2 linked regions of the Oreochromis niloticus genome follow. The protein of the gene in region 1 interacts with the protein of each later gene in a pairwise test. Links are inferred from orthologs where the notes say so. Each region holds a gene or a part of one and is shown in the gene's direction. Other genes may lie near its edges. The genes, in order: reep6 and snx15.

Region 1 (15,233 bases):
ACCTTCATCTGGTCGTTGCCTCCAGTGCAGAAAACAGAAAAGAACAAAAACACCTCACTCACCTGAGCACTGCAATAAACTTTATACAGCAAAGTCACTCTAATGTCATCTCTCATTTGCTGTGCTTGCTATCATTAGTATTCATTATTATTACACAATATTTATTCCATTTATTTGGCTTTACTGATTTTTCTTAGTATTTTGCTGCGTAGAGATACTAATGCTATAGTATCATGTGAAACATTTACATAGACTTTTATATTTACTTTTAAATGTTATCTTTACCTTTCTGTGACAACGTGATGAATCCTGCTTCCAGGTCCAAACTACTCTGAGTTTATTAAGGCTGTTGTGTTTTTAACTTGTTTTAATGTTTTGTATCTTCTTCTCTTTAATCTCAACAAGCCCCTAAAACAGTCAGTGATCCCTGTCGGCCTCTCTGGGTTTTTATCACCACTGTTCATTTTAAAGCTCAGTGTTTAAACCCTTCCAATGTAACTCCAGCCCAGCCCATGCAGCAGTATATTAATGACTAACCTGGTATTGTGGATGGATTATCTCAGCTGTTCTCCTGACTGAAGTTTGGTCCGTTTACAGCATCCTGCCATGCGATTGCATTTGTCCCTAACCATCAGGAACCCTCATGTTAACTTTTATCGAGTGGGAAAAAGTTAGCGTTCATCCTCCAGCTTCACTGTGTTTATGCTATGCTAACATAGCTGTGTCGCTAGCAATCACGTAGCACATCATTATATAGCAGCTAGCCCAACTTCAGTAACCCTACAAACGTCACTGCTGTTTAGTTTTCTGTCTTCATTTATGTTGGAAGTGATAGCAGAGCTGTACGTTTGAATGTTTCAGGAATCTCTCAGTCAGAACATGCTATATCATGTTTAGGTGGAAGCTAGCGAGCTAACTTCCTGCTAACTTCTAACTTCGTTAAATTTAATAAATCCTGTTTTCATGGATGTTAAACTTAATTGTTACACCTGGTAAAGCAGCAACGCTGATCATTTTATTAAAGATGAAAGAATTTAGACAGTTTGTAACTCTCAGTGATGCCGCAGTGTTCGTTTGACTTTGGGACCTGAAGCAGAGTTTGGACCCGGCACGGCTAATGATGTCAGACTTAAAGACCGGATAACAATAAATACATGTCCTCCTATTTCTATACTGAGGATAGATGATTAGACAGAAGTCAGCACTTTAGCTTACATCATTTACCTGCCTTGAGGCCACTTCTGCTGCCTGCTTGCATCAACAGTACTGCATTTATTCTTGAGTAAATTATCACCTAACTTTATTTCTGACTGCTGTATTTCCAGTTAATGTATCTGCTCTGCCTCTGTGAATCCTCCATCTTTGTTGTAGAGTGTCATGAAAACAAAGGTTTAAACAAAACTTCCTACAGCTTTCCAAAAACCTGATTCAAGGAGCTGCATGTTCATTTGCATCATGTCTTCCTTGTAGCAGCTTAACCCTACAAATGAACACAAAGACAAACTAGCTGCTCTAGATAACATGTTCACACCAGCCACCTGGACTCACCGTCACTTTTGAGTCTTTCAGCCTCAGCTTTCTGTTCCTCTGTTGGGGAGTTTGGCGTGGAGTTGTTGTTGACCTGCGACTGAGCTGCATACTGACAAACAAACAAACAAACACTGGGTTAAATGACACTTCCTGTAAAACAACTATTAAAAACAGACAGACGGACTCTTCAGGTGTGCACAATCACAGAGAAACACTCATGTAAAATTAAAATTTGCTGCAACCTGCACTAAGGCCAGTGCTCCATTTTAAACGTTTAAAGAATGGCATTTGGATCTTCACCAGTATGTAATGGCTTGTTTTGCCTTTTGTAAGCCACAGCAAATAATTCTGGTATTTATTGTGTATTTCGTTTCAGCTCTGGCTTTGGAAGAGCAGTGAAATTAACTCAGACTAGCTGCAGGAAATTAATGCAAAATGTGCAGATTTGTCATCTCTGCAATACAACACTGAAACAGATCGGAAAGTTGCAAGGGTTTTCTGTGTTTACCTTTGCTGTAGCGGCGGTAAAGATCTCCGGTAACGTCATGGGGACTGCGAGACTCTGGTCATCGGTAGAAACGTCAAACGCTGTCTCCAAACACTGAACAGCAACTGAAAAACAATAAGACCATGTCAACAACAAGCTGGTTCCAAAAAATAAAATAAAAAAGCCACACAAAAGGAAAAACGATTCAATCTGTCGTGATCTTTCAACTACTCCAAGATGTGGAATCAGAAACATCCCTGTGCGTCCTGAGGTCTCCTCACCTGTTGGCGAGTTGGATCAGGTGTTGGGGGAGGATAACAAACAGTCTGGGAGCATGTATGGCCGGGTTTACTAAGGAACTGCACAAGTGCAAACTTGGTTCTGGTGTAAAAGTATTGTCGATATTTACTAGGAGAGCACAATGACAAGATTGGGTATAAGGGCTGGGAACTGAGATTTGTTGTGACTGACCCTGTTGCATCTATTTCTGGAAGTTCAGGGAGGAGAGTATTTAAGTCAAGCACACAAACTGATTTACTAAAATTTGCATGTCTTATTTTTTGCACTTGATAATGAACTGACTGACAGTGTTAAAAAAAAGCACAACTCTTGTAAATCACCTGTAAAAATAACCACACCTATGAGCGCTATTTGGAAATTGGCCCATAGTGAGGTATTCTCTTGGAGCATCTGGCAGAGGCTGTGGTCCTTTTCAATCCTCTGGGGGGAAAAGTGGATTAACTGAGGTCACCGAGTTAGTTAAAAAACTATTTGGTGACTGGACTTATATGCAGATGAGGTTTGTCTTGAGTTCTTCGGGTGTTGTGGGGGTTTCCTGGTTGACACGTCGATAAAATGAGAATCCAACTGTTTCAGAGGCACACTTGAGGATAGCGACTCTGGAACAGCCGGATATGGTGGTAAACATTCTGTGGCATAGGTGAACCTCAAATTCAGAAGAAACAATGAGGTTTTCCTACTGATTGAGGCATATTGGACCAACTCTTTATCCTCTCAAGGACACTTTGAAGTGGTGGGTTTACTCATCTAGACACCATTTGTTTTGTTAATCTAGAGAAAGTATTCAACAGCATCCATGTAGTGTTTCAGCATGTGTTACATGTACTATGCGAGCTATTTGGTCTCTATACTACTGCAGTGAACCAATGCCTACCAGGCACAAGTTTTGAATTAGTGATGGCAATGCAAACTGCCAGTCTGCCCTATGTCACAGATTCTATTAATAATCTTTGTGGACAACACAGGGCAACAGCATTCAGCAGGTGAAGGGTGTCAGGTTTAGTGGTCTCTGGGATCATCTCTTTGCTCCTTGTTAATTTATTACAATTCAGTTTTATTTATACAGCACACACACGACAGATATCTCAAGACACCGTATATTGTAAGATAAAAGAGGAACACAGATGACAACACAAAGAAGGACAAATTTAGAGAGTTTACAAAAGGTAATGACATGCAATATAAGGGCGCTGGGAGTGAAAAGAGGGGAAAGAAGATGACGAAGCAGCACTGGTTTCACAGGAGTTAAGCCCAGTATCTAAAGCAGGGGTGTCCAACTCCAGGCCTCGAGGGCCCCTGTCCTGCAGGTTTTAGATGTGTCCTTGATCCAACACAGCTGATTTAAATGACCTCCTCAACATGTCTTAAAGGGCGTTTCTCAATATGCGTACTTGTGCGTACTTGCGTTCTCGTGTACTCGTGATACGTCATCAGTCGGAGACCAAGTACTGTTCCAATTCGAAGTATGCATCAACCGAAAACGCGATGTGTTCTCGATCCGCCCGTTTTATCGAGCATGCATCGGTGTGGACTTGGTACAGCTAAATATCCCAGAATGCATTTCGTCCAAAACTCAACAGCGGACTCCCGGCACATCGTTTTCAACGCCCGCCCCCCCGCTCGCGGACTTCTCACTACTCAGGTTAAAGAAACCCCAGCAGCTGTCTATAGTATTGAGTGTCCACTAGAATAGAAATAAAAGCGTTCTAACATCTCACCTGCTTGTTTTTATTAAGGTATGTACACGTATGTACATGTACACTATTTTTATCAATAGAGGTTTCACTACTGAGGTTAAAATGATATATAAGTCACTTAGATCACTTCTAAATGTTAATGTTTGGTGTATTTCAGTGTTTTATTTGTTCCTGAGTAAACCGGTTTGGCTGTGATTAAAGTTAAGCTTCATAACATGTTACTCACAGTTAAATTAGGAGGGGACGGCAGTAAAAACTCCAGACCTGTGACATCATCACGTACGCAGGTGTTCCAACTGTACATATCGCGAGTCCGTGCTCGCGTTCTCGGTGAGTACGTACTCCCGTACTTGAGAATTGAGAAACGGCCGAAGTTCTCCAGAGGCCTGGTAATGAACTAATCATGTGATTCAGGTGTGCTGATACAGGGCAATATCTAAAATCTGCAGGACACCGACCCTCGAGGCCTGGAGTTGGAGACCCCTGATCTAAAGGCTCTGGCTGCTATAGTAATGAGGCGCGAATAGTTTGTAGCCAAGTGGGTAGCAGCTGGGATGTGAATAACAAATCCAAGTTCAAGGTCAAGATTTCTATTCAAACACTGATCTAATGTGCACTCTGGGTTGGGGAGAAGTACAGATATTTTTTTAACAGAAGTACAGAGACTTGTGTTAAAAAAGTGAAACAAAAGTGAAGTACTGATTAAATTTCACTCAAGTAAAAGTGAAAGAGTACAGGCTCTGAAATGTACTCATTTCTACCAGCTGTTTTTGCACAAAGCTAAGTAAACCTGTGCTAATCCTCGTAATGACACAATAATAGTATAGTTAGGAGGTAAAGTGAAATTTGGCTGATGGGTAAACCTGTAAGCCATCCTATATGTAACTTAATACTGATCATAAACAAAATAACTGTTGTGCACCAGCCCAACACAGTGCTTTACAGTACAGCAAACTAACTTGTTTATCCTGCATTAAATGGCAGGATTTTATGCAACCTGCATTCATAGACATGATGCATTCGTGCATCATGTCTATTTTGCAGGAATGTTACACATAGCTTCACACAATATATAGTATGTATGTGATTAAAAAATCAGGACATTACATGTAGCCTTTATATCCAGCTTGTCAATTAATTATCAGTTTGTCACTGGACAGTCCTTACCTTTAAATATAACCCCTCTTCGTCCTCTCCTGTCCTGTTTCTCCTACATCTTTCTCCATCTCTGACTCAAGTTATCTCTCATTCTTTTCTCTCCCTGGGAAATACAGCAGCTGGACCTTTAGTTAGCAAACACACTCCATGACAAACTGCACAAGAACAGTTTGTGTGTTTGCTGATGATTGTTGAGCAATTACAGAAACGCTGCACTTGAAAATACCTGCTACTTAACATGTTATTCCCTGTATGCTCGCTCCTCTTCTGTACAACTTAGGGATATCTGCACCAAGAACACCACTGGATTGTTCTGGTCCACTTAGCTCTATAAACAATGCCTCTTTCATTTCTTTGTACGTGATACAACCTGGTGATGGATACACCAATAGTACTGTCTTTTATGTGCTACTGGTCCCAACTGGGCTACTTGGCTCAAATCAGTCTGATGTTTGAAGACACAGACTAATGTCTTAAACCCAAAGTAACAAACCCATTTTGAAAATTTAAGCAGTAAAAAATACAGATTTGTGTAAAAATGTAGAGAGTCAAAGTAAAAAGTTGTCATAAAAAAACAATACTCAAGTAAAGTACAGATACTTAAAAATTAGTTACTCTACTTAATCTTGAAATATTTGTACTTCTGTTTCCTCTGCTGCTCCTGCAACCCAGACTCGGACATATGAAGCCAGACTATGTACGCTGTATACTTATATATGTTGTGGAAAGAAATATTAAACTGAACTTATTTTAGTGCTGTAGCTGACTCCGTCAGAAAATCTGCTGGCATAATAGTCAGTGATGATTTTGACCATGATCAAAGTCAAATGGAGTCACTGGAATTTTGAGCTTTTGTAATAAAAACAAATACAATAACAATAATAATAATTCCATACATTATGATCTCCCTGGTCCATGGTTATAAGACACTACAACACAAACTTATTCCCCATGAGAAAGTTTAAGTGTGCATTCTGAGTCAGGAGAGAAACAAACTGAGCAGCTTCATGTTGTTCTTCTTCATGTCTGAGGACTCACCTTCGAGACTCTCCTGAGCATCTGAAGACAGAGTGCCTGACTGGAGCTGATCATGGAGGAACTGGATGATGGAGAAAGCGAGGCGTTTGTTGTCTGTCATGGTGGCAGAGGTGCTGCGTCTCTGTCTTCACTGAGGGAGAGACACCCTGCAACTAAAACCTTATTTCCAATAAGAACCGGAACCCTGTAAATGTACATAATGCATGCAATGAAATCCAAATCACTTAAATGCCGCTTAAGTATTATATGAAAATAGTGCAGTGCATTTGTTCATTAAAAGAATATGTGCCAACTTTGAATTTGATGTGAGCAACATATTTCAGTAAAGTCTGAATTCGTACTACATAACCTCTTGTTTTAACGACACTAGGAGGAGATCAGAGGGTAAACACGGCATATCAGTAATGTATTCTGAGCCTAAAGCCAGAGTTTTCAACCTTACAAGTGTGGCTAACTTTAGTTCACTATAGGAATTTATGTTAAACACCTTACGCGGTACTGACCAAACCAGAAATGTTGCCGAGGCCGTGCATTTACACTATGAAAAACAGTCTGTTTTCAAAACTGTGCTGCCTGCAGGCCTAAGGGTCACAGGAAAAGTTTTTGTTTCAGCCTTTTCCCCTCATGAAATTTCTGCTAGCTCTCTAACTCTTTCTGTCTCACAAACTGCAGACCCCATCTTTAATTCTGAAATACTCAGCATCAGTAATGCCCTTTTTACACCTCATTATGTCAGTAATTAACCTCATCAGCTCTCAGATGTGTCTGATTTTTTTTTAATCACATCACTCTATATGTAGACATGCAGCATGTATTTATATGCATGCATGCATACATTTTGTTATATTTATTACTTTCCTTGGTATCAACCAGGATTGAGTACCAACTTTGATGTTTTTTGAACATACCTGCTTATTTTGAATTTGATCTCTGCAGCACGAAGGAATGCCTTTATTGTCATTGCACAAACTTCTTTGTTTCAGCCTCTGCTATATTGCTGTTTGGGGGGGGGGTGTAAAGTTTTGTGTGGTTATTCTGTCAGATGATGCTATTAATAATGCATTAACAACTAGTATCAACAGTGATTAATGCTCAGAGACATGGATGTACCTTCTTTCCACCACACCATCACGACGATGTATGTTTAGCCACCCCCCCTTTGGTATTAGCATGGAGAATGTTCTAGCAACTCGAGCACTGTGTGAGCAGAGCTAACGTTAACCACCTTTGAACATAAAACCATTACACAAACAGAAGAGCAGCTGATGCGAGCTGATAAAGGAGATCTGTCTGTCGTGTTTTAAACTGCTCAAATCAGTGAAGTTTTTGAGGAGTCACCTCACACACACTGACTCAAGATCTCTGGCTAATTTCTAGCTTAGCGTGCTAGCATACCAGTTAGGACAACTAAAAAATCAGCACACATCTAGAATTTATTTGGCTCTTCAGGATATACGTTACGTTTAAAAATGGGTTTCCTGGAACTGCTTTGGCAAATCTCGCAGTCTAACGCTATTACTATAATCAGTACTGAATTAGGCGGTTATGCTGTATTGGTGAAACCCTGACAACTTAAGACTACAGCTAACTCATCGGACACGAATGTATCTCTTTGAAGTTAACAAGCAGCTGATTTATCTTCCGACTGAGCATGACTCGAAATGGAAAGAATGTGTCAACAAAAGGACGAAGCTGATGCTAAAATGCTTGTATTTAGTCAACCCGTGTTACTTTCTGTATGCAACATAGGCCGGATTTGACAGATGATTTCGACAGTTAACTATATGTCTTTAAGTTTCCCTCTATTACACTTGAGGTTCGCTCTAGATTCTAGAAGAAAGACCACGATGTACTGCAAGAGATTTGAAAGGAGCTTGGCGTGACGTGTTCGCCAAACCACAGCGGCACGATGCTAACGGGTGGCTAGGTGATCATATTCCTTTGAGTACATAGGCGCTACTTTATAAATTGACCTTCCACGCTGCCAAAGCGAGGCTGACAGTACAGCTAAGCGTTTCTCCTACCTGTCGTCTCCGAGTTTCAGATGCGAATCAGTCCTAAAAAAGAGAATTTACGTTTGCTTCGCGTCTTTGAGGAACACTCACTCAGTTCGCTCATAAGCTTGTCGCAGAATGATGTCATCATGCGAGGATGCAGTTGAGGGGTCGTAATATTTTTAGCGACCTAACTCACGGCCACTGTATTATTTATTTTTTAAAATTAATTATTTATTTTAAATTGAACATACAAAGTCTGACAGAACACACAACTGTGAAATAATAGAAAAGAAAAAAATAATAATTAAACAATAATAAAAACAATACAGTGAGGGTTTTAACACAAAACACAACTTGTAGCATGTATGTACTCTTTGTCCTGGGCCATTCTGAAGGAAGCTTAAACTTCCGTCGTTCCTGCGCATCTTTATGGACACTAAAATTTGTACCCGACAGGGGCGCCGCCAGAATTTTTTTTAAAAGAGTGGCTATATGGGGACCACTAAAAACATTGGGGTGACACACAAAAAATAGAATTTCCCCTTTTATTATGCTGTTATCAAATATAGATGACTTGACAAAAAAAAAAAAAAATCCCCCAAAAAGAGAGAAAGTGAAGAATTTTATCCAGTAGTCTCACTCATTTTTCAGGAAGTGATGCCTCCAACCGGTGAGGCATCCTTTTTCTTCATTTCATTCTTCTTTATTATTATTATTATTATTGATATAAAGCTGGCCATTTTCACATGACAGTCACTTTCAAACTTTTTTAGAACTGCATTTTTTAAAGGAATAGAAATGAAGGTACTCCAAATATGCAAGAACAAAATGACCCTCAAAGGGAGAAGAGTCCATGTTAAATCAGGTAACTATTTAATTTGTTTTTATCTTTGATATATGGAAAACTGACTTGCATAAAGGAATAATGCCACCTTTTTATCAGGAAATGTGAGTTTTCTTGAAAAACATCAGGTAAGAGTATTAAATTCCCTTCAAACCTTTGTCATGGATCATATATACAGAAAACCTATCATGTTTATTACACTTTTTATTACACTTAAATAGCTGTTGTAACCTGTGTGCTTTGGACTTTATTCTTTTTACAATAGACTTTTGTCACTCCTCTCTAAAGTATTTTAAATTGCTCTAACCTGCACAAAAGTGTTGCACAGTCATTGATAATAATTGACTGATCAGTGGCTGAGCTATAAAGCTGTGTAAAGCCTAGCTGATATATATCATGTATATAGCTTCTTCACTTTTTACTCTGTCTTTAATAAATGAAAATATTTATAAAAAGAACTTCTCAATACCTCCTTGCGTGCTCCTCCTCCTCCTCCTCATTATAGCAGATTGTGGTTGTTAGAGGATTAAACTCGGCACCGGACTCACTGCAGGCTGTTGTCCTCCGACTTCTCTGTGGTCTGAGGACCAGATTGAGGAAAATGGGCCTGCTGAATATTATCACCTCTATCAAAGACCGAGCTGAAAAGTTTCTAAATGAGAAAAATGTGGTGACAGATATTCTGGGAAAAATGGAGGAGAAAACTGGGATCAAGAAGAAGGTCATTGCTCTTGGTACGTGTGATTTAATCTTCTAGAATTATTTTTTTCCCAACTTGCCTGCTTTGTGTAGTAGCACATGGCTACTTCTGGATCATTCTGCTCTCGTTCTAGATGTAGTTGATTTGTATAAAGCTTGTTGCAGGCCAGTGGAAACCTGAAGAGGATTCAGTTAATCCTCCTGTGATCAGCTGCCGTCCACAACAGGAAGCTGGTAATGTTCAGGAGGTTTTCTGCTTCATTTATTCTGCAGTTAATCCTCTGCACTAATAAATATTTTGTCATATTGAACTCAGATAAACTGGCTCTGCGGCCCTTCGGGGTTTTAGGATCATTAAGCTCCTGGTTTTGTGGCAGTGCCTGCTTCATTGTGTCCAGTTCTTTGATAGGACATGTATCACCCTGAGCTGAAAGACTAATGTTTAGTACTTTCTCTGACTAAGCAGCGATGGGCAGAAGTCTCTTTATATCTTCTTATGTTTTAGTTCTTGGATCAACTATGTTAGCAGCTTTAAAGGACTGGTTTTACCCCAGTTTGATGCTGGTCCTACGCTCAGCTTATGTGTAACTTTTTGCCTGCCGCACAGAAGACCAGTCATAAAATGAAGTGAAACCGAGTGTCAAAAACAAAGAAGCTGTCCTATAGCCACTGTCTGAACTTCTCATGCTTTTTAAAGGTTAAGCATAATCTTTATCACATTTCTTCCTCACTGTTGTAACCCGCTATCACTTCTTTCCTGTTCTGATCCAGTTTTCAAATAGTCAGCTTTATACCTAAAAAAATGGCTTAATTGGCGATGTATACACTGTTGGTTTTGTGAAGGACACACAAGCACATCTGTGTAGGCTTCATACCAGGAATCCTTCACTCTGAATGGGTAAATATCCACAAACACTAATGTGGTTCAAAGAAACCTGCGGTAGTCCCAAAAGCTTTCTGCAGCTGTAACCTTGAATAACTCTCTGTCTCTTAAAGATAACTCTTTATTGTTATTGCACAGTCATATATGGTACAATAGTACAATGAAATTGGAAAAACTGAAACTGGGGCTAGTATCTTGTGTGGAACTAAAGCTGTATTTTTTCCACCTTTAATTAATTTCTCTGTCACATTTTGGCTAAGTTCAGACAAAAAAACCCAAAACAAACTCTGATAGGACACCAGTCATTGTTTATAATGACGCATAATTTCATAAGCATAAAGGGCAACCTTAAACAATGACAGGTGAAATAAGAGAATTATAACTGCTTAGAAACAATCAAAAGAATTATCCTACCCACACTGGCAACTCATCCAGTCCCCTTTAAATCAAAGTTTCACATGTTTGCAACAACAAATGGAGAATATTTTAAAAGAAATTCTGTTACAGCAAAATACACAAGACTTCATTTGAAATGTCACAGATTTTAAAATGTTTTCACCAATTTAAAAACAAAGCTATACAAAAAATAAAAAATAAAAAACATTTTTGGTAATCTTTTGGATATCAAGAGGGTAACAGAAGCTAAGGTTGTTAACAGGATTCTTTCTTTTGACTTTATTTTATATCTTTAGTGTCAGTTGTTTCCTAGACCATGTGGTCCCTAACATGGTCACAACACGTTAGCCATTTAGAGGGAGGCCTATTAATTATTTTTAGTCCTGTGTGGACCTAACAGAAAATGTTCTCAAGAAAGCATCACAAATGAATTCAGATCAAATATCCTTCTTGATCCCGGGACTCAATTCCTTTGGTGGAAGGTTGAAATTTTCAGCCTTGGAAGAGTTACACAGACTCTCAGGCTGCTCTTGATATTTAATTATTTGGGGTTTAAGTGCAAATAATAAACATTCACACTCCAATGAACGCATGGATTGCCCAAGGATATTTGGCATGCAGACTGGGGAAGCCATCCACCAACCTTCCAATCAGTAGCTGATCTGCTCTACCGCCTGAGCCACAGCCACCCCAACAAAGGTCTTGTTGGGTTTCTGATTTCAAGAATTTTAATTAGTTTACACCATGTTACTTCATCTTCATTTCTAAAAGGCAAATCATCCAAATTAGCTAACTGAAAATGGGGGTGAGTGTAGCTCAGGTGGTAGAGCAGGTAACTGGAAGGTGGTTCAATCCCAGTCTGCATGCCAAATATCCTTGGGCAAGATATTAACCCCATGTTGCTCTCCGATGCATGGATTGGAGTATGAATGTGTGTAAATGTCAGATAGTAAGCACTTAGAACCAGCTATGAAAAAAAGTGCTTGTGTGAATGGGTGAATGTATAAGTTGTGTAAAGCGCTTTGAGTGCGCAAATAGAGTAGAAAAGTGCTTTCGTCCATTTACCATAAAAATGGCTTTTCCATCCAGCTCTGACAAAGAAAACCTCTGTGGGTTCAGGAGTTCATTGTTCAGGTCGAAATAAAAAACGTTTCTGCCATAAAATCTTAAAGGCAAAACCTCCATACTTGATTTGTCTACGGTGAGTTCAGTAAAGGTTATTCAAACATCACAGCAGTGTGTTCAGTGTTAACAGAAAATGGGAAGAGAACCATCACTTTACTCTACTTCTGCCTTTCCTGCTGAATTCCTGAAGCTCTTGCACATTATATTGTTTTATAAATATTGTCGACATTTTTACAAGAAAGTTTTGTTGTTTTCTAAAAATAAATACAGATCAAACAGTGTATTTTGTTGGTAGTCTTAAAAAGGGCTCTCAGGTCTGTGTGAACACAGTGATCCAGTGAGCAGGGAACAGCAGTGTATTGAGAGCACGTTGATGCTGGTGCAGTGGATTTGTAGCACATTAAGCAGGACATGATGTCAGCGTGGTGCCTGGTGCTCGCTGTCTCCCGCTCTGAGCCTTGACGTTAAAGCTGATTATCCACAGAGACAGGCAGCAGAGCAGCGCCGCCTCCATGTGTGAACAGCAACATAAGCTGATCAGAGGTAGGACACTTTTTTACAGTACTTCCTGTCCGTCTGGCTGTCAGACAATCAGTGAAATTTTGCTTGTTGTTCAGATTTGTTTTGATATTTGGGTGAAATGTCCACATTGTTGGCCTGTGAGCCCGGGCACACTGTGCAGAGAATATACCTTGTTATTTCTGTCTTACACGGATAATGAAACAGGTTTTACTTCCTGTTCATGATGGACATTACCTTTCTTCATTGTAAGTTATGGAAGGTTATGAAATATATGGAAATGTACATTAAGGTGGAAGCACAGATCGCATTGCTGCCTCTTAGATAGAAGAAGTCCTGAGTTTGAATCCGGTCTGGTGCCTTTCTGTGGGGAGCATGCATATCAAGCATATCTTTTAATGCTATGGCCCTGTTCTTTCGTCCATGTCTACATTGCTGGTCAGTAAGAAGTCTTTCGCAGGAAACACTTTCTTCTGCATTAATTTTGTTCCAAATTGGTCGAGTCTGTGTTAAACTGGCTGTTTTTTGCAATGCAGTCTAATGAAATAGATTTGAACACTTACTTGTAAAACTGTTAACTGCAAAAAAGTTTGTGGAAGTCGAGGCTTGTCCACTCATACACCCCACTTATGCATTGTGATTTACAGGAAATGTTACTTCAGAGCGTAAAAGAAAGCAGAGTATAACTCCTTTAAATATTTGAAAGACACATTTCTCAGTGTTTGTATTCCAGACTCATATATATATTACTAAATAGCAGCAGTACATAGAAAACAAAACATCTGTCTTCATCCAGGTGCCGTCTCGCTGACCGGACTCTACCTGGTGTACGGATATGGTGCCTCCCTCCTCTGCAACCTGATTGGTTTTGTTTATCCAGCTTATTATTCGTAAGTTTTTATTTCTCTTTTTTTCTATTTTCTTTTCCTCGTTGTTGTAGGAAGTCATACTCAGTGGATCCATGTGGCAGTCTCATAGGACAGTATAACAACTGTGCCTACAATACACTTGAGTTTTCTCAGTATTATTATCTTTTTGTGACATTTTTGGCATATATCAATCTTTTCAACAGTATATATTTACTGATATTTGGACATTTTATGCATTTATATTAAGACATTTTACTACATTTCAAAAAATAATTTTATTATAACTTTTCAGACATTAATGTCATTAAGCTTAAGGAAGTTGTCTGATGTGCATTCTGGTTTTGCCCTTGAAGAAGCACAACTGATAAAGATGACTTTGTCTGGATAATTTGGAGGTGACATCATTGAAATTGTGACTGATTTTATTGTTAAAGTTCATGATATTTATATCTGTAATAAGGTTCAGTGACTAAAGCAAATAGTCGTGTTACTGGTGCAGAGGCACAGATGTCTTTATCATATTTGAAGGATCAACATATTTCTCAGCTCTTTTACAATATTCCAACTTTGTGCAGAGTCAAAGCCATCGAAAGCCCGTGCAAAGAAGATGACACAAAATGGTTGACCTACTGGGTGGTGTACGGTGTCTTCAGTCTGGGCGAGTTCTTCTCTGATATTTTCCTCTACTGGTTCCCATTTTACTACGCTTTTAAGGTGAGAAAACATTTAGGAACCAATGATATGTGCTAGACCCTTTTATGGATCACCCTAAAGAACAAAATGCTTCTTTTAGGCTGAATTATAGAAGCAATACTGCATTTATATCAACTACTACCTTTTTTTTTTTGAAGGACTATGACCATCATACTAGAATTGAGATCAGGTAAAAGGTTTTAGTGATTCCAGTAATCTCCTTCTTATGTGGTTCCAGTGTCTCTTCTTACTGTGGTGCATGGCCCCAGTGTCCTGGAATGGCTCACAGATTATCTACAACAAAGTGGTTCGGCCTGCCTTCCTTCGCCATGAGGCCACAGTGGACAACATGGTCAGCGACCTCAGTGGGAAGGCCATGAGTGCTGCCGAGAACCTCACCAGAGAAGGTATAACTGGCCCAGGACCACCGCTAGGGCCTTTTACAGAAGATTTAAATATGTATGTACTTTCTCTCTCGTTCTTCTCCCTCCTTAGTCCTGACCACTCTGGTGAAGAACAAAGCTGTGATCACACCATCGCCACCTGTTGCTCAGTCTGAAGCTAAAAGTTTACCAAGTACATCAGGAGAAACATCCACAGCTAAAGTTGGTCCATCAGAGATGAACGAAGAAAGAAGAGTATGTAAAATACACGTTTTCACCCTTTACTCAGTCTGTCCACCTTGAACTATATCAGTGAAAGCAGCTTACTGCAACTTGGAAATTTGCAGTCTGCTGGTTTATGTCCTCTCTACAGGCTGCTGAGTGATGTGTTCTCATTTAGTAAGCCTTGTAGCATCTCCCTTTACTGTCAGTAACCTAACTGGGAAAACTGATCAGCAGTCCCTTCAATATAGAATCCCACTAACACTGTTTATGTAGCGGATCGGTACTTGGCGTTCAAAGCAATCAAGCATTGTTTAGATCAAGTGGCTCTGATGAAAAGGTCAGCTGATTTGTTTTATTTTATCATCTTTAAAAGTTGTCCACATAACTTAC
Region 2 (15,727 bases), on another chromosome or scaffold:
GATTTAGCAAGTAACTGATCTGAAATCAGAAAATTACGTACTCTTTTTGTGGGCCGCCTTCAACAAGCTATCGAGATCTTCAGCATTTCCAAACACTGGACTAATTTTTTGAAGGTCCAGAGTCATCTTCTCGTTGGCGTAGACAATATGAAGAGGTCCGATAACCAGGCTTTTCACCTTTAGCTGATTAATGTCATCCAACTTTCCTTCAACACCTAAAAGAAAAAAAAAAAAAAAAAAAGGTAGTAAATGAAATGCTGGGTCAGTGTGAATTTCACATAAGGCAGAAAAACAAGGGTGTGAGAAGCAGAAGGGTGTGAGCAGGTTAGGGACAGAGGACAGACAGACATGTTGATAGTTAAGACTGTAGCGCCGCAGTGCTGGCAAGACCATGTGAAGGATCCCAGCCTCTCCCTCTGCTGGCCATGTGAAGCCTGAGCACAAGGGTGGCTTTGATAAAGAGAACAAAACTGAGTCACGTGGAGTTTTTGGAATTCCACCCAAAGCCTGTTAAAACCAAGTGCTCCCCACCAGTTCACTTTATGAACAGTAGTAAGCACTGTTCTTCCTTCCTGTCTTTAAAAAAGCCTGTAGTAAACATTTTTTTGATATGTACAGATCACGACATCTTGATATATTCCAGAGTTGCTCAACTTGGCTGTATCTGAATAGAGATACGAAACAGATGACGTCTTCATTTTTTTAAAATGGTCTTAAGACCTTTAGTCACACTGTGGCAGCATAGTCAGCAATTTGATATCTAGCCAGCTGACACAGGCCACAGAGAACTAATGAAAGCCAAGAGACTGTCACAAGACTTTATCCATGTAAGTCAGAGCATGTTACCCAATTTCAGACTGGGGCACTTTATAGTGCAAGCTCCAACTCTTATCTTGGGAATAAACATGGCAGCGCAATAAAAAAAAAAAAAAAAAAAAAATTTAAATGCAAGAACAAAAGTAAGTTTCTTCATAAGCTCTCCCAAAAAAAAAAAAAAAAAAAAAAAGTCTACCTTTCAATCCTTCAGAGAACGCTTCAAGGTCAGTGATCTGGTAGAGAGGCCCTTCATTCCACCAGTTCATCTCAGGGATAGACTTGCAGCGAGGAGCCTGGACTATGATTACAATGGCTCCAGCAAGCATACCAATCCAGCCCAACCAAAAGAGGACAAGAAGAACCCAGCGGGTCCTCACCCATCTGTGGAAGAAAAACGAAAATAATAATGTAAAAGTGTCCACTGATTTTAACGCCCACAGAGGAAGACAGCTCTTAGCTGCAGCTCTTACCCTGGAGTGCCAGCAACCTTCATCAGCTCCTCTTTGGACAGCCCGGTGAAGGTAACCTCATCATCGGGAACTTTCAGCTTGACGCTGCCATTTTTCTCCCCGCCTGGAGCCTGACCGTCCCCCGTCATGGGCTGCTTCTCTGGGTCGAGCTCATTGAGCTCCACTTCTTTCATGTCGATCTCTGTGTCTTTATTCATGGTTTAACTGGAGGTGGAGCACAAAGGAAAATTATGAATTAATAACTTTTATCTGCAAAAGCACTTTCATTGGCTAACACCCAAGAGCTAACCCCCCCCCCCCAAAAAAAAAAAAACACAAGACCACCAAAAGGAGTAGAGGGATTTGGTTTTTTTTGTTTGTTTTTTTTAAGGCAGTACCGGCCAAGTCTCATCCCCTCGCCTTTTGTCTACCCTTATGTAACACATCCCCCCCTACACAGGACATACAGGCAACGACTAGATTCATTAAGCTAGCCCAGTTTTTAATGTAGGAATTAAACAGGAGTGGCGGTGCTGTTCCCTAATATATATATATATATATATATATATATATATATATATATATTTCAAATAAACGGAAAACCCATTCTTGAGATGCTCATATGTTCCACCGGTGTCTGATGAAACAATTACAACTTCTTACTTCACGTGGTCAGCCTCGAGTTACGGAAATATTGCAGCTACCCTTCAAAATAAGTGCATAGCAATAGCAAACAGACTTAAGAAAACGATTTAAACAAATGTCACGACTAAACGACAGTGAACATTTGTTAGTAACAACAACAAGAACAAAAAACAAAACAAGTAGCTCTCTGACAGTTTAATATAACTAATATAATACACACATGGCTTTAAGATTAAAGTGGTGTAAACCGGAAGTTTAGTAGTTGACCGGTTTGTTCTAGTTCGCTTCAACAGTCATTAAATAAAAGCTCTTCAAACAAGTACATCGTAAATGTCTGTGAAACCTTCACCGAACCCAATAAAGTTAAAATCGACCCGGTAGCAATAACAACTCCAAAAACTGTGTGATATTGTATAATTCCATCTTCCTATAAGATGATGAAATCAAACCCGTCCCTAACGTCACGTGCTTGTACACGAGGCAGTTTATCCGGCTGTGAGCTGAAGACTACTCCCGGCGATAACACGGCAGGTCTGAATTTACAGAGTGGCAGAAAAGTTGATGAAGTAAATCAAATTACCTGTAAAATACAATGTATAGTCCCGGTTTGGCTCTTAGTTTACAGCCGGTTATTCCTTGTTCTCTACTAAGCGTGTAGAGAGGATCAGAGCGCATATTTGTACCCGCCCTGGTTTCTCCGCCTACTGGGGGAGCCGATAATCCCTCCCTCTCTCTATCTCTCTCCTCCCTCCCTCCCCTCCTTCGCTTGCTGTCTCTCTTTCTTCCAAGAAAAATCCTAAGAAACAAACTAATAAACAAACTGAACGCCATGCTCCAAACTAAGAAAACTTTGTTCTGTTCCTTCTTAATGGTGTAAATGAAACGCTCTACAAAATGCTGTTTACAAGTTCACATATCAGTTATTATGCAAACTGAAGATAATGCAGTTTGCTTCACAGGCAAGATGATTGGTAATGTGATTATCTAGCTGTCTTCTTCTGATCAGTTGAGATTGCCACTCTGTGTTTCACTGATCTAATTTCACGCCTGAGGACCTTTCTGTCGCCTTCTTGGTTTGTTTTTTTACCTTGTTTGCAGTGTTTAAGCATAAACAGCTGACCATTTAGTCTCCTGTGATCACGCTGAGTCTATAGTACCGAAACAACAAAATTTGAGTTGAATTGTACTTGCAATGCTTCTCCTGGGAGCTGATCAACAGATTAAAACTGAGCATCTTTTCCTTGTAAAGGTATAAAATATGTTGTTGGGCCCTGTTTGAAAATGTCAGGTTCATGCTGCTGTGACTTTATTTTCTGTGTCGATTCTGGGTTAAAGCTGATCACACTCATGCCGATGACAGATTATTTCATGCCAACACTAACAATGTATATCTCTGTTGGAGACAATATTTGGGCGCAGCCAATCTAAAAACCAACATCCTGCTGTCCAAGTTTGGGCTCTAAATCTTTCTCCAGCTGTTGTTGACCTTCATCAAGTTACAGTAAGAGAAGTTACAAACAAAGCTACAGAATTTACTTCCTAGAAGTAACAGTAGACTTCTAGGAAGAGCGCACATTAAATAAGTATGTGTGTGGGGGGCATGTTTTTCACCCTAATTGTCCAGTTTGCCGTACACTGATGTGATTTATCATGACATAGAAGTTAGACAGAATGAAGGCAGAATGCTTGGATTTATAGTTGCCGTAAATGTTTGCATAAATGAATCATACTCGTGTGTGTTTCATGTAGTGCAATGGTGCAAACTTTGATTTTACAGTTTGCAATTCTCCCTCTGCTCTTACAGTGCAACCATAACAAAGAACCTTGCTGGCTGTCTGTGATATAGATGTGTTATCTGTGTCTTCTCAGGCTGTTTGTTGCTCTCTACTCCTCCATGTCTGCACAGTGTTTTTGCCCTTTACACGACCCTGGTGCTGTTTCTCTCTGTCTCTGCTAAGCAGGGCAAGAAAACAACTTTCTGCAGTGACAGGTAACTGCAGAAACACGCTCCACCACTCTGCTGTAACTTAACCCCTGCATGTGTACGCTTGTTCTGTGCTTGTTGTGTTCACAGATGTGACATGTTATGGCACTTAATTTCAAACTTTTTTTTTTTTATCTGACCACTTAATCAGTTTATTTTGTAGTGATACATCCAATATAGTCCACTGACTCTAACAGCTTGGGCTTTCAGAGTCCTGTAACAGTACTGCAACCTTTACTAGGAAGCATTTATGTACACCTGGCTAGTTTTGGGTTGGGACCCCCTTTTCAGAGCTGCATTAATTTTTTGTAATAGAGATTCAGCAAGGCGCCAGAAACTTTCCTCAGAGATTTTGCTCCATATTGACATGATAGCATCACTCAGTTGCTGCAGATTTGTCAGCTGCACGTGCATGATACGTTTCTCTTTCCACCACATCCAAAAGGAGCTCTGTTGGATTTAGATCTGGTGACTGTGGAGATCATTTGAGTTCAGTGAACTCTGTGTCCTGTTCAAGAGGCCACTTCGGAGTATATATACAATCAGGCAAAAGATAAACTAGAGTGGCGGCTATCTGTTGGGAAGTGGAAAGCCTTTATGATCGGCATTAAAAAACTGATTGAATATGAGTGAAAACGAAAAGAAAGATATACTTAATCAAAGTCCCACAGAAGATTTTTGTCTTATAGATTAGACCATGATCTTCTTATATGCCATATTTGTCTTCAGGGACTAATTTTTGTCTTCCAGAAACAGTGTAGTGCCTGTTTATTTCATTTTCAGACTTCACCACTGGTACATGTTCTTCTCTATGTGGATATATCTCGGTCAAATCTTAGGTAGTGGTAGGGAGGGGTGTCTAATTTAAGATGTGTGACATTAAATCTATTTATACTCTGCTGTTGTTCAGCTTAGTCATTGTGCCAGGCTTTTGCTACCTGATGTCACTAATTTTAAAACCTTTCTAAATGTCTTCTGCTGACTATTTAAATATGCCCAAGAATCAAATCTAACTTTATAACCAGTGTTTGGCAGCTGCATATCTACATGACGACGATAACGTTGTTATAGCCTCTCCAAACACGCGCACTCGTGCTCGCTTCTCCTATTTCACCAAAGTCAAACACACGCCATCTGTTTCTGTTTTTATCTCAGCCTGTTGATCATGTGTGCGTAAGTAGCAGAGTCAGGTTGTAACAGAGCTGCTGAGCATTGGCTGATGTGGACAAACTGTGCTTTCCAGCTGGGAAGCATTGAGGATATAACAAGAAGTAACGGAATATGCTCTGTTTTTCTGTAAAAACAGCAGAACTGGGAGGAGGAGTGAGTAGATCAGGAAACAGGCGACTGGAGGAGGGAGGAGAACTAGGAATGAGGGGAAAGAGCAGACAGGCAGAGAGAGGGCAGGGATGTGTAAACATGTTTTTGAGCTGAGGGTGAGGAATATGTTGGAACAAAAATTTGGAGCGGAGCACAGCTCGGGGTATTAATGGAAGCAAAGCCTAGAGCGACGGAAAGACCGTTAGTGTCCTTTTCGCACATGTTGTCTCAGCCCTGTGAGGTTTTCAGTTCTGCTTAAACAGAGTTTACAGGATAAATTGGTCAAAATCCAAGCAGCATTTGAATCCTCGGAAAACCGAATCAATCCCAACTTGGCAATAAAAAAAGAAGTAAAAAAAAACCCATCAGCCACCATCACAACAAGTTCTCCGAGGACACGGAGGGACTAATTCACTCCTAGACTTGTCTTCTTTGTTTATGCCTTTGGCAGAGGAGGAGGGGACGTTCTGCTGGAGTCTATAAGCCAGCACACAGACCCCCACAGCATAATAACAGAGAGGAAAGAAGGCCAAAGTTGCTGAATAGTTTGGTTTTTTCTGTTTTCTCAGTGGACGGGGGAAGAACACACAGGGATTACTGTGCATTACGCTCCACCTGTGGTTCAAGGTCACAGTTCACATTACCATAGTAACTGATTGTGTAACAAGATCAAAGTAGGGCAAATTAGGAGCTGATTAGAAGTACTGTGTGAAAGCTTTTTGCTTAGATTTTTAAAGTTTAGATTAGTGTCAGTCAGTCAGGGCTCGAGTGATCATCTCACTGAATGCAGTCATTCACGCACACACACGCGCGCACACATATGGCTACACCAAGAATGGTCTGATCCCTGTGAGAGAGTTTATTTTGTAAGACAGCATGTGCTTGGGAGGAGAGAAAAAAAAGGAAAATAATCAGCAGTTCAGACCAGTTCAGACCAGTCTGGCCGAGAGCTTACGCTTTCATCTCATTGTTGCAAGTTCCCTGCAATGAGCTCTCGCATTCAGAGTTCACACCGAACGAATGAAGTTCGGGGAAATGCTGCTTTAATCTCATCTAAAAAGTGCAAAGGTGTATTCACAGATTGATTTGTTCACCTCTTCAACAAACATGAGCATGTTTGTCTTTTGGATCTACAGCCAACAGAACATGCGTGGCTACATTTTGTGTCATGGATAGAGGGGAAAGGAAGAATCCACCAATGACTGTGCTGCACTGGTGATAAAGAGAATTACTTACAGAGCGAAACATGCAATTAATCATAATATACGCACGTGGACTTTGAGCCATATTGTTTAACGTTAGCGCTCTCAGTTATGTAACTAATATATTGTCCCACAGCGGGGATCTGATCCCACACGTGTGCCGTGTCTTGCCGACTGTACATTTCGTAACTTTTCTGCTTGTACGCTCTCTTCTTCTGATTGTTTTTCTGCCCATAAAGCAGCGCCTCCTGCTTCTTCCTGTGACAATGAGAACGAATGACCTAGTTTCCTCTCACAGACAAAGAGGAGCCTGTTCGGTTTGGAAAGCCTCCCTCTCTTTAATTTTGCATGAATGGAGCTAATTAGTCAGTTCTCCTTAAAAATGCACCATTAAGAAAAATATATATATATATATATAAACGATCTACAATAATACACCTCACACACTGCAGAAATTACAGAGCACACAATACTGTACGTACACACGACTTCTGCTTTTAAGCTGTTTGAAAAATATACTTGACATATTTAAAAGAATGCCTGTTTTAGTTTGACTTTTCCTGTCTCCCCTGTATTCCCATCACCTTCTCTACCATTACAGCATTTTTCTGCCCGGTTCTCTAAACCCTCTCCCCTCTGTTGAGCCCCTCTCTATATAACTACCCACCTCCTCCTGTCAGCAGGAAACAGTGGTTGCAAATTATATAAGAAGGCCCCCTTTTTGTGATAAGAATGCAAAACAGCTGAGCCATGTGAAGGGCTTTGCGACAGCTCCTCCTGTGTGAGCAGAGTGGCGCAGCGGAAGCGTGCTGGGCCCATAACCCAGAGGTCGATGGATCGAAACCATCCTCTGCTATTTTGACTCCTTCCACCCAAACACAGGTTAAACACATACAGGTACTCCATATGGACCTGAATAGGACATTGCAGCATGACTACAGGCTGTTTGCTGAGCTTAGTTTCTTAGTCTGTCATTGTCAATTCCAAACGAGTCTGGCAAGTAACTCCCAATTAAACATTTACGTCATTTTGGTATGCTAAACATTTTCTTATAATTTAGCTGGTAATTTGCCAGAGAGACCAATAAAGATGACAACTGACCTTTGAGCTTCAGCCTAAACTCAGAATCCTGTTCAAAGCTTTGAGAGGAAGGCTTTGGACCATTGAATATAAGGATCTTCAGGATATTTTGACAATTTCAAAGCCTTTGTGTTGCTGTAAATAGGTGAATCAGATATATCAACTGAACATGCCTCTGATCATTACATTTATAGCCTATGGGAAACAGATAAAAGCTTGGGAATACAGTGTTAGGGGATGTTAGACAATATGCACAGCTGGAGCTTCCTCAGTAACGTCTGTTGTTGTTCACTTTGTTCTATTGTCTCAAAAAGGGTATGTACAACACTTTTATGTGCCTTTTTTGTTTTAGCGCCATCTTTGATGCAGAATCTGTTTCCTTTTAGCAGCACAAACACAGTTTTTGGGGGTTTATATGAGGAAAAACACAACAAGTCATAAAAATAAAAATGAGTATCTTAATTTAAAATGTTTAAATTGAGTGTCTATGCTGTGTTGAAAACTACGAAACATTAGAGCACCCCCTGGAGTATTTCCCTCATAATTACATGTTTAATACAAGTTAGAGGGAATTTTTATGACTGTTTGTGACAATGTGACTAATAAACCGTGACCGATCAACAACAATATTAAAATCAGAGAAAGGTAAAGTGAGTAACATTATGGTTACAGTGGATATGGATACAGTTGACCCAGTCCTGACTGTTATCTTCATATATTCATATAATTATTGTTATATAAATTTTTACATCTATATATAGTTTTAATATATAATTTCATCTTACTATTCCAGTTTTAACCTTTAGATGTTTTCCTCGTATTTGCGTGGGGTCTCCCTGGATGCTCCGGCTTCCTACCACAGTCCACAGTGCCTCTTGTCCTAAGACAGTTGGGATTGGGTCCATCCATAGTAGCTTCTTAGATTTAATTTATATAAAAAAGAAAGAAAGAAAAACGCATGTAAAAACTATGGACTCATTTAAAAAAAAAAAAAATTTAATGTAAAATTTTATTTTCATATACCTAGTGGAGGAAATAATTTTTTTAACATTAAACTGAATAGTTTGACGTCTCGTCTCTCCTACGTAATCACGCATTCGTACACGTCACCAACCAGGAAATGAATACATCCACGGAGAGGAGGGGCGAAAGAATCACAACAGAGCCTTTGACTGTTCGCGTTTCTTGCCGCTAAAACAACAACGCCGTTTTTCTTTTATTAACGAGAGCAAACATGTCACGGAAACTCAAAGAAGACTATTATCGGTTCTTCTCCGTTACCGACCCACGCACACACGAGAAGGGCCACACCGAATACAAAGTAACGGCGAGGGTGAGTTTACACTGTTTATCTCTCCTTAGCTACAGCGTCATTAATTGAAACCTATCGTAGAGCCGGGTGTAATCATGCTTAATAACTACGTGGTTAGCTGTTTTGCTTATTACTTGCCAAAACATATTTTAAATTTAAATGCGTAGCACAAAGGTGTTAGCTTAAAAGTAAGTGACTTGGTATTATTATAAATAGTGTGCATTTCTAACAGAGTGACAGACGACCCGCAGCTAGCTCATATAAATAAACAAATAACTATACAACGGGCCTTTTATTTGAGGCAGTGGTGCACAATGAGCAGTCAAATGAAACAGAGAGAACTTGTGATCCAGTTCATGAGCACCCTCATGACTACAGAGGCATGCCTATAAAGTCAAAGAGGATCATGTCTTCATAAGCTTTGTTCAAGCACTCATTGGTCTCTCTTAAATTTATAATTTAAATCGTGGCCTCTGCAGTGTTACCACAAAGCAAATCTGCTGTGTCTCATTGTTAAACATGCAGCCAGTTAAGCGACATTTACTTTATTCTGTCATCTGCAGTTTGTGTCCAAGCGTCACCCAGAAGATGTGAAGGAGGTGGTTGTGTGGAGGAGGTTCTCAGAGCTGAAGAAGCTCCATGGGGAGTTGGCCTACACGCACAGGAACCTGTTCAGAAGACAGGAGGAGTTTCCACCTTTTCCCCGAGCACAACTTTTTGGTACATGAGTAAAGATTGTGTTATGCTTTACATTCCTGTGGAGCCTTTTATGCAATTATTGCTTTCATTCCTGTTTTCAGACTTTCATCACAATTCTTGTGACATTTCCTCTCAGATTTACTTGTCTTTATAAGAAGTGACATGTTTAGCGTCGGTCTTTTTGCAGAGCTTTGGTTTGTGAGTTTTGCCTGTCGTGAGCTGTGTTGTATGTTTTTGCTTATGAACTGAGAGTTGTCTTGTGGTAGTGTGGCCGAGCGGTCTAAGCCGCTGGATTAAGGCTCCAGTCTCTTCGGAGGCGTGGGTTCAAATCCCACCACTGCCAGCATACAGTGCTCTTTTAAAATTTCATTATTTACAGCAGGTAGCTCCATTTGTTTTAATCTGACCCTTCCTGACAGAACCCCAGAGGGTTTTGTGTCTCTATTTAAATATTTTGAAGTAACTCATGAGACTAATTATCAGAGAAATCGTGTGTTCAAAAGTATTGGATCAGACTTGTCCAAAAATGTGCATTTGCTATAATAATAATAATTCGAGGGGAGCGTGTTTATGTGTTCTCTGTAGATCCTCTGCCTTCCTCCTGCAGTCTATTTGCATGAGTGTTGAAAATGAAAAGCAGCTGTGCTGTATTTTTTTATCAGGTCACGCTGATGAACTTCGTGATGAGAAAAGTCTGAATGGGAGGTGGGCAGTTCACTGTCGTGTACAGCAACATTGACGATCAAGCAATCGACCTTTACCTTTGATCTTTTTACAGTGAGTCATAGCCTTCGAGCGGGTAGTGTGGCCGAGCGGTCTAAGGCGCTGGATTAAGGCTCCAGTCTCTCCGGGGGCGTGGGTTCGAATCCCATCACTGCCAGCATGTAGTAGTCTTTTAAAATCTTGTTATTTGCAGCAGGTAGCTCCATTTGTTTTAATGTGACCCTTCCTGACAGAATAATTACCTGAGAACTGTTCAAAATATTTGACCAGACTTGTCCAAAAATGAGCTTTTTTTTCTAAATTTGCTATAATCAGATGCATTCGAGGGGAGTGTGTGTATGTGTTCTCTAGAGATCCTTTGCCTTCCTCCTGCAGTCTATTTGCATGAGTGTTGAAAATGAAAAGCGCCTGTGCTGTATTTTTTATCAGATCATGCTGATGAGAAAAGTCTGAATGGGAGGTGGGCAGTTTTGTGGTAGTGTGGCAATGATGAAAGCCTGAAATCTCTGTGGACCTTTTGTTATGATGTGTACAGCAACATCGACCAATCAAAGTTAATTTCACAGATAGCATGTCAGAACTGTGGAGTACAGCCCTCTCTTCAAATGTATTCTGAGAAAGGTAAAATGAGTTAGGACAGTGAGTCATAGTCTTTCAGCAGGTAGTGTGGCCGAGCGGTCTAAGGCGCTGGATTAAGGCTCCAGTCTCTTCGGGGGCGTGGGTTCGAATCCCACCACTGCCAAGTAAAACTTTTCATTTGGCAGTGGGAAGTTTAAGACACACCTCTTTATGTTTTAATTAGAAGCATCATGTTTAGGGTTGATCTTCTTGCGAAACTTTGTATTGTGTATAAAAACTCAAGTGTAAATATGGTTCAGCAAATGGAGGAGCATATTCCGGGAATGGTGCGACTCCCTGCAGAGAGTTTTGTTGTCGATGGAGACAGTGTCAGGTAACTCGGTCTGCGGTCCGCTGTTCCTCATGCTCATGTTGGTCCGTCAGCCAGCTGAAGAGAAGAGCAGAGTTATAGTACACAAAGAGCTGAAGTGGCTTCATTTTTCAGTGGTTACTAAAATCAAACTGCAACCACAGCAAATCAGTTGAGCCGTACCTATAAACAGTAATGATTCATGAGTTCATTCAACTTTTCATGCCCTGCTTAATATGAAGTCAGACTGTTTGGCAGTGGCAGCAGTTTTAACCTCGACAAATGGCGATTACTTAATGCTAACGGCAGCTTCAGAAGTGAAAAAGAAACTGTAACACTTCCCTTTTGTCTCTTGTAATTTTAGGAAGGTTTGATGGGGCTGTGATAGAGGAAAGGAGAAAAGCAGCAGAGGCCATGCTTCAGTTTACTACCAGCATTCCTGCTCTGTATAACAGCCCACAGCTGAAGGAGTTCTTCAGAGTAAGACACACTCAGAGAGGCACTCTTACAATCAAAATCAACCATTACTCAAATCTTAGCAAACATTAAACGACAGAAAAAAAAAAACGTATGCCAGGTCAACGTTCATTTTATTACCAGACCCCATTTTCTCTAACGCTGCCACACTATCCCTTCCCTTACTCAGGGTGGTGAGGTAACAAGGCCTCTGGATGCCACACCTCTCTCTTCTGCGGGGTCTCTGCCTCCTCCTCTCATCCCCCTCCCCAAGCGTAGGGCATCAGACTGTGAGCCTGCTGAGGAAGAGGAGGGCAGGGAGGCTCCCACCTTGCCCCAGGATCTGGGCAATAACCTGAGCTTAGAAGTGGGAGAACCAGAAGTGGCAGCTGAAGCCTACAGTGAGATCGGAGGATCTCCAACAGAAGAAGAGCAAGAGGAGCTTAGCGACACAGAGCTGGATGACCGAGGTAGAAATCTCACAATGTGTGATGGTCTGTTATGTCCTTATTTAATTCTTTTATTCTTATTGTTGTTCTCACTTTTGTGGTCCGTGTTTTCCCTCCAGTCCCATCTCCATTCACGGACCCCGAATCAAAAGAGACCCAGGAAGAATTCGACTCACTGTTTGACTCTGTGGCTGAAGGACTCCCATCCCCAAAGGAAGAAGTTCCTCCTCCACTGTCTGATAATGACTTGGCTGTTTTCGATCCCTGCTATAAACAAGGTGATGCCAAAATAAATGTGAATGTAATCATATAAAGCTGATTTTAGTCTTCCCGAATATGTGTCTTATCCATTAACGCTTTTACTTACTGTGTCAGTGGATAAGAAGATGTCTGTGATCAGTGTTTTTTGAGGCTTCCTGATAACATATACTAGTGTAAATGTCTATACATTTATGTTGGAGCTGCTATTAGGAGGTGAGCCAGTGCTGTCAAATATAATAACAGTCTTCCTTCACCTGGCTTTTTTGGTTATAATAAGTAATAATAACAATAATAAAAATAAATAGAAGTACAATAAAAAAAAAGCATTTTTTGAAGACCATTAAATGTTGCAGTTCTTGAGTTAATCTTCTAGGTGAAGGATCCAGAGGCATCTTCCAAATGTTTATTTACATTTGGTCTCTAAGTGGTCAGGAAGTAGTTCAGAGTGTCATTACAGTTTAAACACAGGCCTAGGCAGTACATTCACATTGGCTGTTTTGTTTAATTAACAGTCCCAAAAATGAAACATATCAGCAGACCTTAACTGCTGTTTCCGGTTAAAAACATCACATCCAGTGATTTATTTTAGATAGTGACTTTTTAAAACCTAACAAATAAAACATAAGACATAGTTAACTAAAGACAATATCACTACTACTACAATATCTCTTTTTCTTTGATTTACAGATAGATCCAATTCTTCCACCGACCACTCGGAGTTGCTCTCACTACCATCAAACAGTGTGGACGGAGAGGACGGGGGTTACTTAAACCAAGCTGCCAAGGAGCTGACAGCTGCCATGGAGAGGGAGAAGGAGGGAGAAATTAGTTCTGCCATTTGTGGGTACAGGATGGCAGTGGATATTCTGATCACTGGAGTACAAGGTGAGCCCTTGGTGTACAAAAGAATCAGTGGGTGGGTGGAGAAAGAGAAAGAGAGGTGGGAAGAATATAGTTGAAGAGATACTCCTGTAAGAGCTAAAAATACTGATGAAGGAGCTGAGGAGACGGGTGAAATACTAGGTGGTTGTCGCAGTGGTGGAAAATTAGAATTACTAATCTGCTGTGAACATTCTGAGTTCAACAAAAACCTTTTATTTTTTTCACATGGAGCATTTTACTCGAATGCTCTCTGTCATGTCTATTTCTGCATCAATTATTAAAACAGCTTTGTTGCTATGGCGATAGACCATGAAATCACTTTGTCAACTGCAAAACCTGCAGAATGCCAGACGGTGCACCATGTCCAAATGAAAAATAAATTGTGCGGTTAGGTTTACAGCTGTGACGCCTCACCGACCATATTCAAGCACTTTGTCTGATGTGCTGCTACCATGCCGATAAATGCGCCGTTAACAACTTTACTCTCCTGCTTTACCTGTTATTTTGCTGTAAGTTGTTGTGTTACTGGCAAGTAAGTTCTGACATCAGTTGTCTATGGGGAATTGTGCGTTTGTTTATGGCCAAAGGGAAATGTTGCAACAGTTCTACTCTTCGTCTAAGGAGCTTGGATTGTGACTTACACCCATTTTCACACCTTGGCTCATGTGATAGGGGGACAGTCCCCTATGTCTAAAGGACCAGAATCAACTTTCAGCATGTCCACCCACACTAGTGTGTCCTGATGCCTGATGTGCAGGTAGTGTGGCCGAGCGGTCTAAGGCGCTGGATTAAGGCTCCAGTCTCTTCGGAGGCGTGGGTTCAAATCCCACCACTGCCACTTAAACCTTTTCAGGTGTGGAAAATGCAGTTCAGTAGCTTCATAAGAAGAACCGTGTTTAGAGTTGCTCCTTTTTGCAAAGTGGTGGTTAGTTTGTGAGACCTGAGTTCTGCCTATTTTGGATTTTAGCCTTTGTTAAATTAAAAGCTGCTGTACTATTTTTTTTTTTTTTATCATGGCTGATGATCTGAGTGCTGAGAAATTTCTTAAAGGGAAGTTTGTGGTAGTGTGGTCGAGTGGTCAGGAGTGGTCAGGATCCCCTATGTGTCAGGAGTATCGGAGCAGTTGAGACGCATTTTTTCTAAACACCGCGTCTCTGTGGGTTTTAAAGCCCAAAACACGCTGGGCCAAAAATTGGTCCACCCCAAGGATCGGGTCTGCCGACACAAACAGAGTAACATAGTGTACGCTGTTAAGTGCCAGGAGGATTGCCAGGATTTATACATGGGGAAACCAAACAACCTCTGGCAAAGCGGATGGCACAACACAGAAGAGCTACCTCGTCAGGCCAGGACTCTGCAGTCTATTTACACCTACAGGCCAGTGGACACTCTTTCAATGATGAGGATGTACACATCCTGGACAGGGAGGAACGCTGGTTTGAGCGCAGAGTCATCTGGGTACATCTGTCACCATCTTACAATGCTGTGATTGCAGCCATTCCCCAACTCTCTGTGAATGGTACTCATGGCCATTGATTAGTGGTCTTTGATCAGTGGTTGTTGGTCAATGGTCATGAGAATTTGCATATTAACAAGCAAGGAACTGACCTCCCAGCCCATTGTTCTTCCAGTGGTGCTGGTTTCAGTCAATATGCAAATGTACTTTTTAGAAGATTGTGGAAACCTGCCATCAGCTGAGACTGAAGAAGTCAATTGGATGAGTGACGAAACGTTTCTCCCACTGAAAACGCTACGTCCAGATGAACAGATTCAACCTGGATGATTGAGAATGCATCAAGATGTCAGGAGGCTAAACTCTGCTAACCCATTACCCTTCTGACAGTGGGTTGGTCTTTTTTTAACAGGGTAGCATGGCCGAGTGGTCTAAGGCGCTGGATTAAGGCTCCAGTCTCTTCGGGGGCGTGGGTTCGAATCCCACTGCTGCCAGGGTTATTTTTCTTTTCCTAATCTTCAGTATATTGTAAAACACTGATAATGATTTGTATTATGCTTTTTCATGCTATCTGTCATATAAACATCGATATAATGGTAGATGGTCGTATTAAATGTGGACACTGTTTCAGATAATGAGGTCAGTGCATGTATAGATTCATAGTCTCAGATTTGAGACTGCTGTAAACACTCTGTTTCCGACCCTTAGCTCTGTGTAATGTCCATCAGAGTGGATGTCCCTGTTATGGACACCTCAGACACAGAGTTCTGCCTTTTGTTTATGAGGGGTAGCCAATCAGAAGAAAGCTGTATTAAAAGGAGAGGTTGGGAAGCTGTGATAGCTTGTCTCAAACAAATAAATAAGGATTATTTTTATATATTCTAGTTGAGTCCAAGAATGTGAAGTTAAGAATGAGCATAATATGTCCCTTTTGTTGTCTTTGTCAGTCTCCTCTGTTCTGTTACGCTTTTCAGATAAACCCTCCACATGTACAATATTATACACTAATCATTTTTATCACTGTGTCCATGCAGGAGACACGGATCCAGTACGCAGGGAGTCTGTGAT

Evidence for each region.
Region 2: the proteins of reep6 (region 1) and snx15 interact in binary tests that used the Homo sapiens proteins (3 or more experiments, as listed by UniProt). The two-hybrid records come from large-scale screens. The link is inferred for Oreochromis niloticus from reciprocal best matches to the Homo sapiens genes REEP6 and SNX15.

Annotation. Positions count from the first base shown.
Region 1 is NC_031980.2:37,186,644-37,201,876, forward strand, and holds the start of reep6 (receptor expression-enhancing protein 6), read left to right. Parts: upstream 1-9,558; 5' UTR 9,559-9,652; coding exon 9,653-9,785; intron 9,786-12,330; exon of another isoform or gene 12,331-12,666; coding exon of another isoform or gene 12,667-12,697; intron 12,698-13,469; coding exon 13,470-13,563; intron 13,564-14,117; coding exon 14,118-14,256; intron 14,257-14,473; coding exon 14,474-14,642; intron 14,643-14,730; coding exon 14,731-14,873; intron 14,874-15,233. UniProt on the Homo sapiens protein: Required for correct function and survival of retinal photoreceptors. Required for retinal development.
Region 2 is NC_031967.2:10,485,171-10,500,897, reverse strand, and holds the start of snx15 (sorting nexin-15), read left to right. Parts: upstream 1-8,593; 5' UTR 8,594-8,730; coding exon 8,731-8,829; intron 8,830-9,371; coding exon 9,372-9,528; intron 9,529-9,768; exon of another isoform or gene 9,769-9,850; intron 9,851-10,305; exon of another isoform or gene 10,306-10,387; intron 10,388-10,890; exon of another isoform or gene 10,891-10,972; intron 10,973-11,522; coding exon 11,523-11,638; intron 11,639-11,804; coding exon 11,805-12,084; intron 12,085-12,182; coding exon 12,183-12,341; intron 12,342-13,011; coding exon 13,012-13,209; intron 13,210-13,962; exon of another isoform or gene 13,963-14,044; intron 14,045-15,071; exon of another isoform or gene 15,072-15,153; intron 15,154-15,693; coding exon 15,694-15,727. Other genes in the region: slc3a2a (solute carrier family 3 member 2a), read right to left, coding at 42-215, 1,013-1,197, 1,287-1,483. UniProt on the Homo sapiens protein: May be involved in several stages of intracellular trafficking. Overexpression of SNX15 disrupts the normal trafficking of proteins from the plasma membrane to recycling endosomes or the TGN.